2 linked regions of the Elephas maximus indicus genome follow. The protein of the gene in region 2 purifies or fractionates together with the protein of the main gene of each other region. This does not show direct contact. Links are inferred from orthologs where the notes say so. Each region holds a gene or a part of one and is shown on either strand. Other genes may lie near its edges.

The links. Proteins that work in one complex are often made in the same cells at the same time.
Region 1: the proteins of COP1 (region 2) and ETS2 purify together in Homo sapiens (affinity purification with western blotting; 3 studies listed by BioGRID and IntAct, with this or other methods). This does not show direct contact. The link is inferred for Elephas maximus indicus from reciprocal best matches to the Homo sapiens genes COP1 and ETS2.

The regions. Positions count from the first base shown.
Region 1 is NC_064820.1:221,194,161-221,201,187, forward strand, and holds the start of ETS2 (protein C-ets-2), read left to right. Parts: upstream 1-3,996; 5' UTR 3,997-4,214; intron 4,215-7,027. UniProt on the Homo sapiens protein: Transcription factor activating transcription. Binds specifically the DNA GGAA/T core motif (Ets-binding site or EBS) in gene promoters and stimulates transcription.
Region 2 is NC_064842.1:38,684,273-38,691,251, reverse strand, and holds the start of COP1 (E3 ubiquitin-protein ligase COP1), read left to right. Parts: upstream 1-3,921; 5' UTR 3,922-4,196; coding exon 4,197-4,603; intron 4,604-6,979. UniProt on the Homo sapiens protein: E3 ubiquitin-protein ligase that mediates ubiquitination and subsequent proteasomal degradation of target proteins.

The DNA.
Region 1 (7,027 bases), on a different chromosome or scaffold from region 2:
TCTCAACATTTTTATTTTTTTGAGGGCGAGGGACAAGGCTTATTCATCTTTGTCTTCCTGGTCCTGGAGCCTATGTTTACTGAATGAATAAATGATACACTTCCGGCCAAATGACGTCTGTTTAACTTGCAACTTGAAACTACCTTGAATCGTGTGTTGCCTCTATTGATTTGGATCTCAAGGCAAATATGAAGGTATCTCTAAGGAAACGTGTTTCTTTTTTTAAAGAATGACTTTTTAATGATAGTGTCTGGTTTCTAAAGAACGTTTTATCTGTATTTTACTCTCTAGATAATTTAGTATTTGTGCAGACATAGGTTCTGCTATCTCTTTCCTTTTTTTCTTCTCTGAGCTTTATTCTGTCTTAAGGGAAAAGGATTAAGATGACTCTTAAACTCAGCTTGACATAAGCACATCTGATCATTTCACCCTGTGCGTCTTCTGCCTTTTCATTTCCTTCTAACACCTTCAACTTTTGATTTTAAAGTGCAGCGAGCGCAGTACTTAAATAGGCTTCATTTACTGTAAAGCCTGGTGTTCCTTGAGCATCGCGCCGTAACAGTCAATGAATAATCACAGGCTTCAACCAGGCAGGGGTTTAATAACTAGGCTGAGTAACTAGGAAACCAGCTAATAACAAGGACAAAAAAAAAAAAAAAAAAAAAAATTAGGAGCCCCGGTATCATCCCAGAACTAGCATACGTCATTTTATTAAGTTCATGTCACCATCAAACTGTGGCGGTGGAACAGTCACAGCACAGGACCCAGGGCAAGGGGGCTTTGTGGGAAGCAGGGAGCTAGAGGGGCCTGGGTGGGAGTCAGGAGACTAGGCTTGTGTGGACTCTGTGTCCCTTCCGAGTGTGACCCAGGCAAACTGACCTAGCTTCTTCTCCTAGAGGCCTCCACACCTCTTTCAGCTCTGCCATTTTGTCATCCAGGCCATGGTCATTTTGGGTAGGGTTTCACACCAGTGGGATCTGAGACAGTAGGGACAATTTCTTTTTTCATGTGTATGACAATTTTTTCCAAGTGTTTCTCATAAAATGATTCAAGGGGGGAGTTTGGAGAAAGAAACTTAGTAGCTGCCATTTTGAGCTCTCTCAGCTCAAAAGGCACTCAACACTGGTAAGTACTGGGATTTATGTCTTATGACATAGGTTCCATAGAGAGAGAGGGAGGGAGGGGTACGTGGCTGGGTGGGTGGGTGGATGGATGGTTGGATGGATGGATGGATGAACAGACAGATGCCAGTGAGCTGACTCTTTTTCATGGCAACCTGTGTCATCCTCCCAATCAATGCATGTTTGAGTCCATCATTGTGGCTATTAAGCCAATCCATCTTGCCGAGTGTCTCCCTCACCCTCACTGGTCCTCTACTTCACCAAACATGATGTCCTGCTTTGTCCATTGAGCCTTCCTGATGGCGTGTCCAAAGCAAGAGAATAGAACAAAGTTCTGTCGTAACCCATAAGGTTTTCATCGGCTGAGTTTTGGAAGTAGATCCCCAGGCCTTTCTTCATAGTCTCTCTTAGCCTAGAAGCTCCACAGAAAACTGTCCACCACGGGTGATGCTGCTTATATTTGAAATACCCATAGCATGGCTTCCAGCGTCACAGCAACACACAAGCCACCACACTATGACAAACTGACAGATGGGTGGTGGATAGGTTGGTTCCATAATTGCCCCTTTTCTGCAGAGGAGTTAAATAATAGGCTCAAGGTATTCCGAGTTAGTAAGCAGGGGAAGGCTTGGCCATTAGGAAAAGATTTTCTCCCAACTCCAGTGCTCCTTCCATTGATTTCTGTCTCTCAGCTTGTATATGCTTGAAACTGCCCAGTGAGCAAAGCGCTTCTTCCTGGCCCCCATCCTCAAAAGAAGGAAAGACGTCTTCACAAAGAATCAACGGGTCTCCATCTGTCCTCTTTAGGGAGCCCTGGGAGAAAAGTCTGGTGATCTACTTCCAAAAATCAGCCAGTGAAAACCCTGTGGATCCATGACCTATCACGGGAATGGCACAGGACAGGGCATCGTTTCATGCCATTGTGCCTGAGGTCACCATGAGTCGGGGCCAACTCAACGGCAGATTAACAACAGCACCAGGGAGCCTGTCCATCAACCTCTGGCACCAAACATGGGTGGGGAGCAGGCACAGGGGACTAGGCAGTGGCACCAAGCTTCTCAGACACCCGAAACTGGCCGTGGCACCAAGCTTCTCAGACACCATCCAGGACTGTGTGAGTAGCCTGGGGGAAAAGCCGCTGTATTACCTGGAAGGGCAGCCAGATGAGTCAGGATTTTCCGCTATGGTTTTAAGAAAAGAAAAAAAAGGAACACATTGCATCTCCATGGTAACTTACTATGGATCTGTATGCCATTTATAAAACTCCTTCTTGACCTATGTACCCTTTCTGATTCGGGCCTGAACGTACACTGAGAAGCCATCAGAATCAATTCAATCCCCCCAAAACACTGATTTCCCCTTGCACAATGTGGCCTGCCTCTGACATGTGCCATGGTGATACCTGGACACCCTCAAGTGGCAAGGCGCACTAAGGGGCTGCAGTATCTCGGTGATCCGGATAACGGCAGATCCATGGTTGCCACGGAAACCAGGAACCCTGGCTGACAGAAGCTGGACAGTTTCACTCCCTCCCGCGGCACCCTGTCTTTATGATGTAGCTGCTTTCAGTCCTAGGGTCTTGCCTAAACTAGGCTTTTTTAAAAAAATCTCGTACAAATCTAAATTTCTCTCCAAAATATTGAGAGTCTAAGTAGTTAAGTGACTGTGCTGGCAGCAGAAAGTTCAGCTGTTCGAATCCACCAGCCCCTCCCGGGGAGAAAGATGCAGCAATCTGCTTCAGTAAAGATTGCAACCTTGGAAACAATACGGGGCAGTTCTACTCTGTTCTATAGGGTCGCTACGAGTGGGAATCGACTAGACTGCTGTGGGTTTGGTTTGGGATCTAAGTCTAAATAGGAAATGCATACATTTTTAGCCATGGGCTCGGCGCCTTCTGATAAAAATGGAAACCCGCGTATAGGTGACGGTTTTGACCATGGGCTTGGGAGTCAGAAAAGGTCGGGTTGCCATCCTGAATTTCCCATGAGTACCCGCGCTTATGATCCAGTTACTTACCCTAAGATTCAGGTCTGTCATGTGCGAAGTGGCAACAATAAAACCTTGGAGAAATGTCCTGAAGATTAAATGATAATACATGTAGAGTGCTTCGCCTCGAGTGAAAGCTCAGTCGGTGTTGGTTACTACGATAGGCACCGCTCAATTCTAGGGGGCGCCCCTCACACGAGGGCTATGGAAATGGAATTACCCTGAGTAGCGCAATTCGTTGTGCACAATAAACTTGGTGGTGAGCCAGCAAAGGGCCCAGATCGTACTTGTTACCTTCATTTAGAGTCTTTTCATGACCCAATAACTAGAAATCTTGGATCCAGAGGGAGGTCCAAGAATGGGCCAGCTCAACTTTCGAGGGCACCGCCCAGGGAGATCTTATTAGCCAAGCGCCGCGACCACCCGTGTCACCAGCGCTCTTCATTATTCTCTTCATGCTGAATTCCAATGGCAGGTTTGGTGTGAAAGCCACAGGGATCAGGAGAGGAAACTGATTCTTCCCAGGAAAGGCTCTCCCGGCACACATCCTGAGTCCCTGGGACAGAGCCAGGTGACAGCGGACGCGGGAGAGAGGGCCCCGCCGGAAGGAGCTTGCTCCTCCCCTCCTCCGCTCCTCCCCTCCTCCCCTTTCTCTTCTCCCTTCTCTTCCTCTTCGCTCCGCTCTTCCTTCCAGCTTTTCCTTCCTTTCTCCTTTCTCCCTTCCTCTCCTTTGCCTCTCTACTCTTCTCCTCTCCTCCCCCTCCCTCTCTTCCTTTCCCTTGTCCCCGACCTCCTTCCTCCTCTGGTCCCCTCCCCCGTTCCCGTCCCTCCGCCTCCCCTCCTCCCCTTGTCTCCTCCCCTCTTTAGTCCCTCCTCTTCGCGCTCCTGAAGAGCTGCGCCGCGAGGGGACGGGCCGGTATTTCCTCCTGCTGCCGCGAGGAACACGGTGCACCCTAGGTCGAGAGCCCGGCTTGCCGCCCGCAACCCCCGGAGCGCCCCCGTCCGCCACCCGGTCCGCGGCCCCCGCGTCTTCAGCGTTCGCCCTCGCCCTCGCCTGGCGCGCACCCAGTTACCGCCGCCTCCGTCCGCGCCGGCCTGCCCGCAGGGGTAAGAGCGGGGTCCCTCCTGGAGCCCCCACCGCGCCGCAGACCCTGGAGGGCGCCGGCTAGGCGTCCGCTGAGAACCGCCTCCTGCGCCCGGCTCCTTTCCCTGGTAGGGGTGACCCAGAAACGGGACGGGAGACGCAGGCGACACCAAGATCTGGATCCTGGAGTGAACCAGGGGGTCAGGGTCGGGGTGGCGGTCCTCTTAGAATCCGAGGGGCGTGCGCCTGAGTTATCCTCACAGGCTTGTTTTCTCGGTACCGAGTGGCCTTGGGGGTGGCGGAGCGGCCGAGGGCCCGGCGGCAGGGTCAGTGCCGAGGTGCCCGGGCGAGGTTGCCCGGGGCCCCGAGACGTGCCGGCCCGGGCCTTGCGCACTCGGGCGGTGCCGCCGGGTCGCCGGGCGGCCTCCCGGGCGGGGTGCGGGTCTTGTTTCGCTTTGCTTGGCTTTGTTTTCTAAAAGGCATTCCGGGCCCGGTGGGGTTGTTCTTTGCCCAGGTTTCTCGTCCTGCGGGTGCCCAGGGCGCCTGAATTCACTAAGGGCGTTGAGAACGCAGAAGGGTGTCCGGGTAGCTCCCGCGCGCAGTCCACGGGCTTCCCGGCCCAGGCGCGCCCCGGCTTTGTGGGAGACTTTCTCAGGCGCCCCATTCTGGGGGGCGGTGCCGGGCCCGGCAGGGAGGTTGCCCGGATCGGGGAGGGGGGGCCCCGGCGCGTAAAGCGGAAATGCTACGGCACCCCGGAGCGCAGGGTCCCCAACTGCTCGGCCAAGTCCAGGGCCCAGCCCGGGCGGCAGGCGAGGGAGGCCCCAGGAGGGTGAACGGGTGGCGCCCTCTTGTCCTTCCGCTTGGGCGAAACCCTTACGGGTGCCCGAAAACCTCTGGATTCGGGGTCCCCTCGGCCGACATTGGTGAGGGAATGGGGGACCGGGAGGCGTAGGCTGCCTTTATTTTCTTGAAGTATTTTGAAGGAAAGAGTAATCGTGAGCGTTTGCGTATGTGTATTTGGGGGCTTTGGGTTTCTTTTTTTTTTTAAGTTCAGGAGGCTTTTAATGCTAGACGGTTCTAAATTTCAGGGTAGACTGAAATAGCAGTTGTGCTACTTTAGAAAGTAAATAGGTGAGCAGGCCCCTTTGGAGATAGGAGTAATTTATTTTATTTCACCAGCAAGAGATTACATGTGTTCCATGGGATGGAAGTGATGTGTGTTAGCTGCCTGCCCACACCGCCAGCAATCACCCATATAAATCTCTAAGTTAAGGTTTATTAAAATTCTGAGTAACATCGCAGTACAATAAATGTTAGCACCGCGTATCCCGCAGGGAAATCGATTCAAACACTCATTCCTGAGATTAGTCATTCATCTCTAAACTGATAACTTTCCAAGTGAAAAAAGCAAAAGGTACCTTCAAAAGTGTGAAAGGCTTGTTTCATTTTGTTTTTCTTAAGATTTACCTAAGTGCAAACCTGTGTTCTGATCTCACATAACTGATTATTTGTTCTAATAAGGGTACTGCCGTCTGGCAGGTTGTCCTCTTTTCGAATGTTACCACTGTCGGCCATTCTGTTCTGCCATTTCCCCCCCTTTTTTTGGTTCAAAAGCAGTGATCAGTATGGCAACACCGAAATGACCTAAACATGAAGTTGATTAATGTGGAGGAACTTGGCATGCCTGTCACTTTAACAAGCTGTGTTGAGTAAAATAAGTGAACTTAAATTTGATTAGTGATGTGTCTGCCTGAAACCATTTAGTCGAGCTCTTTGATTCTACATGGTTTTTTTACAAAACTCATTAAGAGCTGGACAACAAAAGAATTCTATTCTGTAGCTAGTAATTATACCTCTTTATGTGGGAGGGGTAGGCTGCCTTTTCTCTCGGTATTTGTACACAAAAGCTAGGCAGAGCTTTTCCGTGGCCGTCCGCAGCCTTTCTCTGTCAGTCTCTGTGAAGTTAGAACATGTAGGATAAAGCCGGCAGCCTACTAACCAAAAGGTTGGTGGTTCGAGGCCACCCAGAGAAGGAAGGCCTGCCTGGCAATTTACTTCCAAAAAATTAGCCATTGAAAACCCTGTGGAGCACAGTTCTACTCTGACACACACATGGGTTGCTATAAGTTGGAGTTGACTCGACAGCAGCTGGTTTTGCTGGGTTCTGGATAGATACTGGACAAACCCAAGATGTCTATTGTCTTGGCTCGGGCCTACTGTCATAGTATCTGTTTGCTGTCTCTGCCTTATGGTGATGTGGAGGCAGAAGGGCACGTGCCTGGCACAGTGGGTTAGGACCACATGCAACGGGGATTTGGTCCCTCGTCTGCTCCTTAGTAGCCCCGTGGTAGCTGTTGATCCAGGGCCAGTTAACACCTGGGCCTCCAGTGCCTCCCTACAAGATGGCACACTGTCTCCAGCCCTGATGTTGGGGAGGTTCAGGGAAAGGGTGCTTAGGGCTGAGTGAGTAGGCGTCTGTCAGCGCTGGCGAGCCTTAGCAGTGAGCACTGATTCTTGAGAAATGCGGACGGCAGAAGTGACAAGATGGAGATTCTGATCCAGCGTGGCCACTTTTGATCCCAGAACAACCCTCCCCTCCCACCCACCCATGGGGTGATTATCAAGGTGTTCTCTCTCCTGTCTTGGCTGCTGTGATAATTACCTTCAGGGCAAGGGACTTTACAGCCTTTCCAATGTCTCTTGCCTCCCACACTGCCATTTTAGGGGTGTGTGTGTGTGTCTCCAGTATCCAGAGCCCAGCAAAACCAGTTGCCATCGAGTTGATTGCAACTCATGGCAACCCCATGTGTGTTAGTGTTGGGTGGCAGGGTTGTTG
Region 2 (6,979 bases):
GCTTATTGGGGGGATTGTTTGGTTGGGGTGACAGCCAAAGGGCAGGGCTAGATGGAGGTGGAAAACAGTGACCTTATCTCCCTAAAATATCATACTTGCATAAGGCACCTCAGAAATAGGTCTGGGAAGCTCAATCCTCTTGGTAATTATATTCCACTTTAACTCCATTAGATTTTACTTCAGTATAAGTGTTTTTGCTAGAAGACTTTGGATTTTGTTTTCATTGCTATTTTTGTGGTTCATGGGATAAAATTCCTTTGACTATTCAGACTTAGCTTTTATTATGCACTTACTTTCATCTTTTATTAATTTTTTTCTTTTTTCCTATTCTCTACTTCATAGCAACGACTGTGAGGATGGTGCAGGACCAGGCAGTGTTTCCTTCTGTTGTACATGAGGACACTATGAGTCAGAGCTGACTCGACGGCACCGGCCAACAATTTATTTCTCTTCTCATATTTTGAGTTGCCTGACTTCCTTCTTTGTGTATGTTTTGTCATGCTTCCTCTTCTGTTTTCCCAGAAGATCTTGCCAGTAGAAACTAGGAAGGCCTGTGTATTCTCAGAACACAGTCTTTATACATTTATCTGGTAAAAAAAAGGAAATGCCACTGTATCACATCCCATTTCCTTTTGTGAATTTACTGAAAATAGGTTCCCAAGAGGTAATACCAAGCACTGAAGATTTTTTCCTGGGAGACTTCTCAGTTGGGGCCATATTACTTTTAGGCACCTAAGCTACCTGGATAGAAGACTACTTCACATTATTTCTCTTATACCTCCCACAGAATAAAGCACAATGTTTCTCAGAGTTGGTCACTCACGTCAGATTCACCTGAGTGCTGGTAAAAGTCCATATTCTTAGGCCCTTACAATGAGTCAGAATTGACTCGATGGCAAAGGGTATTTCAGGCCTATTAATCAGAATCTTTTTGGGGTGGAACTTAGAAATCCACAGTTTTTAACAAACTCTCTACATGATTCTTTTTTGCAGCATAGTTTAAGACTCATGGGTGTAGTAACATGCACAGCAAGTGACAGGCCCTTAATAACTCTTTGATTATAGATATATTATCCCCTTACTAATTTCCAAATTTCTCAAGTGCTGAAATTTCTCTTTGGCCCAGCCCTGCATTTTTAATCATTGCCCGGATATGCTTAGTAAATGTTTTTTCCACCCTCATTCAACATACCCAAAACTAAACCATCTGCCAGATGTCTCGAATTCTGTCATCATGCTATGGTTATCCCAAGAGTCATCTCTGGAGTCATTCCTTACTCTTTGTGCTCCATCTTTTTTACTTAATCAACATACTATGCATGTGGGAAAGACAGTGATGAACATGACAGACATAGGTCATGTCCTCAAGGAGCTTAAAGATTCTTTTGCAGAGAGTAATTTATTCCTAAATTCTTTAGTGTTTTTCTCAGATACTCCCTTGCTTTCCTTGCCACCACCCTCATCTAGAATCTCATCACTTAGGCTCAGACTGATAATGTTTTCTTAGTCTGTTTGCTCTGAATCTTTCAGCTCTTCTGAAAGATTAATCTTCTGAAAGCTTATTCTTTAACACTTTGAATATATTCCCTACGCTTACCCTGCCGGATACCTTCACTGTTTCCAATTGCCTTATAGGATATGCCCAAAACTGGATTTCAACCTTTTTACAATCTTGTTCCCAAATGAAGTTCTCCCAAATAAACTCTTCTACCCCTATGAAATAGATAACTGAACTTGATGTAAGCATTTTTACTGATTATTTTCTGGGTTCATGACTTCAATTATACTTTCTGCTTGATCAAACCATACTTTTCTCTTAAAGCCTAATTCCTTCCCTCATCAACATGGCTGGTCTTCAGTACTTGCTCTTGCTTCAGCTCCTATTGGATTTTTATCCATTATGCATTAAGCATGTGTTCCTTGGCATCATCATCTAGCTTTTTAAAATCCATTTCTGTAAGTCCTCAATTATTCCATAAGCTTGTTTTATAGACTTCTCTATCTCTTCCTGAGGAGCCCTGGTAGCTCAGTGGTTAAGCACTTGGCTGCTAATTGAAAGGTCAGGGAGAAAGATGTGGCAGTCTGCTTCCATAAAGATTTACAGCCTTAGAAACCCTATGGGCCAGTTCTACTCTGTCCTATAGGGTTGCTATGAGTCAAAATCTACTCCATGGCAACAGGTGTGGTTTTGTCTCTTCCTTGGTTAGCCCATGCCTTCCCGTACTAAGCATTCAATGAATTTTCATCAAATTATGTTCATCTATTTATGCTTTCCTTCACCAAACACCGAATGCCTCAAACAGACCAATATGGCCTTGTTTTCACGAAACTTAACAATTTAGTTAGACAGACAAACATTTAAGAAATAATTAAAATAAAAATGAGATCATTGGCTTTATTCATTTATTAGTCAACAAACAATAAGCACCAGGCATGGTGTAACATGTTGGAAATACAAAGAAAGTTGTGGTTGACAGGCTAGTGGAGAATAACACATAAACAATTAAAATACAATTATATAAGTACAAACAATCATAGGAGCACAAAAGACGGCTCAACTATCTCTGCTAAGGATAGAGTCAGGGAAGGCTTCACATTTCAGCTGTGTCTAGAAAATAGTTTGAAACAAGAGTTGGATGAGGCAATGTTCTTGCAAGGAGGTTCTTGGAAATCTGATAAATCCATTCCTATACCATCATTCTAAGCAGAAACTTGAGGTAAACCCAAGGTGGGAATACCAAGGTGAACAGCTAAGGCAGAGTGAAGAGGGTGGCAACCTTATGAAAGTTCACTGCCCAGCTGGGTGGCTAAATCCGAGTTTCTGGGCCTTCACTCAAGCCCCTCTGTGACCTAGCCCCCTTACATACATTGATGTCCTTCAGAAAAGTTCCTTGCTTTCCCTATAGGCTTCTTCAACACTCAGGACAAAACTAAATCAGATCCTTTCCTCTAAGAATCACAGAATGATGGAGACGGAAAAGATACTGAAAATCACCCAGTTCAGCTGTTTCTAACTTACATACATCCCCAAGAACCTTAGGGATTCTCAAAGTGGTAAACGAAACTCTGTAGGCAATTTTCAATATTCCAAAAGGTTTAACAGAAATTGCATATTTTCCGGTGGTATCGAATATTGTGTTTCCTTGTTTTGTGATAGAATGATATCAATTCCACATTAAACTGAGGTTTGACTGACCTGTCTTCCGATTGAGTATAATCTGTTTTCCTATTATGTCACACCCAACTTAGTAAACAACGTTTAAAATAAGCTCATGGTCAAACTGGTAAAACTTGCTACACTCTTCACTGACTTCACCTTTATTTAATTCTCACAACACTGTAGAATGGCTCAATAACAGCAGAGCCTGGAAACCTTGACTCTCAGTCCAGGGTTCTTTCGAACTGCGCGGTGCTTCCAGGTTCCTTCCGTTTGTCCCCAGTCTACAGCACCTTCAATCCCTGATCGAGAAGCACCTGTCGTGCTCTTGCTATTGGGTCACCCATCCGCCTCTCAGGAGACAGGGATCGCTCCCTCTTCACACTCAGGAACGCGGTTCGCTCCCACGCATGCGTATATCACGCTCTTCCTCGCCTGGAACGGAGACCCTAGCTAGCTCGCGAGGGTGGGCGCCCAGGGCGCGCGTATGCAGTCGTTTTGTGAGCGGCTCTCTTCTCCTGCCCCCGCTCCCCGTCCACCAAACCACCAATCCTACCGTTCATTTTACTCTCCTCCGCCCTTTCACTCCATTAAGACTGCCTACCCTTCCGTACGTCACCAGCGAAAACAGCTCCCGCCCAGGGCTCCTCTGGTTGCTAAGCCGCCGCCGTCGCCGTTCGTGCACGAGCACCGCCCGGGCGGCGTAGAAAGTTGTATCCCCCGCCGCTCCCGCCCCTTCCGCCGCTCGCGCGCGCGCGCGCGCGCACGACCTGCCCACGGCGCGCAGGGGTTGGCGGCGGCGGCGGCCTCGAGAGCGGTAGTGGTTTCTACTCCCCTTTATTAGTTTCCTCCGCCCCCTCCCGTCGGACACCGTTGTGTGGATGCCTTAAGAAAAAAATCAACTTTATTGTTCCTCAGCCCCACCTCCCGGCGCGGCGCGCGTCCTCGGGATGCACTGAGACTGAGGGAGGGGAGGCGGCGGTGGGTCGTGTCTGGGTCCCTCTCCTCCGAGCGCCGTGCCGGGGGGGAGGGAGTCACGATGTCAGGTAGCCGCCCGGCCGGATCGGGCTCCGCTGGGACGAGCCCTGGCTCCTCGGCGGCCTCCTCGGTGACTTCCGCCTCCTCGTCCTTATCCTCTTCCCCGTCGCCCCCTTCCGTGGCGGCTTCGGCGGCGGCGCTGGTGTCCGGCGGAGCGGCCCAGGCCGCGGGCTCGGGCGGCCTCGGGGGCCCGGTGCGGCCTGTGCTGGTGGCGGCCGCGGCGTCGGGCAGCGGCGGCGGGGCGGTGTCCGTGGGCCCGTCCCGGCTCAGCTGCGCGGCCAGGCCCAGCCCCGGCGTAGGTGGGAGCAGCTCCAGCCTAGGCAGCGGCAGCAGGAAGCGACCTCTGCCCACCCCGCTCTGCAACGGGCTCATCAACTCCTATGAAGACAAAAGCAACGACTTCGTCTGGTAGGTTTGAATAACACCCCGCACCCCTTGCCCCCTGTGTGTTACGAGTTCCTGCTGGTTAGGCTGGTGGGGTCCAGTGTGAGGGTGGCCTGTGTAAGAGCTTGGATACTGGTTTTGTTCTGAAGTCAGCGTTTCCGAGATTCGAACTTGTAGCGGTGGTGGGGGTGGGGGGGTGGTAAGGACGGAGGGGAGGAGTGAGGAGATGTTGAAGTCCCAAGGCAGGTTGGGGGTAGTGAAGAGGTGAGCAGTGGTGGGGAGGAAGTGAGAGGAATTTAAGGCATAATAAATAGGATGGGGAGATGGAGCATCGAATAATGTTGTGGATAAAGAAGAAAGTTGGGTAAGAAGGTTGGGCCTTGCATTTTCTGGCTGTCTGGCGTTTTAGGCACCCAAAAATCAATCCGATTACTTGTTGAGGTGAATTAAATTTGTGAAGAGGGTGAAGCTTCCTGGGATGCTGAGGGATGGCGTTGCTGGTCAGGATTTGCTTACTGGCGGTATGGTGCATGGTGCTGTAAACACGGGTAAGGATGTTTTAAGGGGAAGTAGTATTTAAGTATCAGTTGTGTGTGTACATGTGTATTTAAATATATCTCGTCTCACATTTCAAAGTGTAGGCCACTTTTATATCTGCTGTAGTCAAAGTCTATTCACAAAATATTCAATTTCTCAATCGAATATCTTCAAGAGGGAACCACATTTAGTAAACATCATCGGTGTGTTAATTACAGTTGTATTACACTCGTATAACGCATTAGAGTATACTGGAGCTTCTGATTTGAGAAACGCTAGGTATTAGAGATTTTGCCATCATAGTTGGCATCTTGAATGACACAGTACTATTCAGTCATGAGATTTGGCATAGACGGGCTAGCCATATGAAGTTGACTTGCTGAAAGTGTTTTGGGATTTTTATTGGGTTTTGGATATTATTGGTTGGATTATGAGAAAGGAATTAGCTGAGTAGAAACTGGTGGGGTTTTGTGCTTTTCTTTTGGAGGAAATTGATAGATTTCCTTAAGAGATTATGTTGTAGAAAGTTGGCTTGCACTAACATTATGGGGATGATCTGGGTTGGTGTCATTAAGTATGATAGGGGAATAAGTTGGAACTGCTAGGGAAGCTGTTGATTAGATATACAGTTTATGACTCTTGCAGAAAAATAATACTGTCTTTATTCATATTTCTGCTTTTCTTTTAAATTATTTTGGATTCAGAATTATTTCATTTTTCGTTGAACCTGGGCTATAATTGTGAATGATAGTTATGAATAATTTTAGCAGTTTATGATTGGATCTAAGAGGTGTTTGCCTTCATACTCAGTAGAGAGGAGCCTTGGTGGCATAATGGTTAAGAGCTCGGCTGCTAACCAAAAGGCTGGCAGTTTGAATCCATCACCTGCTCCTTTGGAAACCCTGTGGGGCAGTTCTACTCTGTCTTGTACGGTTGCTATGAGTCGGAATCGACTTGACGGAAGTGGGTTTTTTTTTATTTTGTTTTTAGAGAGTGCCACGTGGTAAGGTAGAAGCTAGTAAAATAAAGTGGAGGGTTTGCAGAATTTAGTCTTTTTGCTACCATTTCAATTTTCAGTAGACTGAAAAGAAAACAAACGCATCAGCATCCATATAAAAAACCAAACCCAACCCCATTGCCGTTGAGTTGATTTTGGCTCATTGCAACCCTGTAGGACAGTAGAACTGTCCCATGAGGCTTCCAAGGATTGGCTGCTGTATTCAAACTGCCGACCTTTTGATTAGCAGCTGAGCGCTTAACCATTGTGCCACCAGAGCTTCCAGCATCCATATAAAAAAAAAAAATAGGTATACTAAAACAGGGTAAAAGATGTGAGAGGTAAGGGAATTATTCATTCATTTAACAAATACTTACTTAATACTCACTGTCTGCCAGGCACCATGTGAGTTTCAGTGTGCTATAGGCTATTTTATAGGGAATTGGAGAGGGTGGGGAGCACTGGTTGCTCAGTGGTTAAGCTCTTGGTGCTAACCAGTGGTTTGAACCTACCAGCTGCTCTGCGGGAGAAAGATGTAGCAGTCTGCTCCTGTAAAGATTTACAGCCTTGGAAACCCTGTTGGGCAGTTTACCTCTGTCCTGTAGGGTCACCTTGAGTTGGAATCAACTTGACGGCAGTGGGTTTGGTTTGGGTTTGGAAAGGGTAGAAACAGTTTAAGCAGCTGGCACTTTTTTTTTTTTTTGAAACAAGATTATTAAAATTTTTATTAGCCCATCACCTAATTTAAAAATTTCAGTCTAGTCTCTTGAGTTCTAATCATGCTGCTTAAATTATTCTGTTTTCGTTTATACTGTAGTGTGGAAGTGTCCACTGAGAGTTTTCAGTTAAAAATTTTGCATATTTCA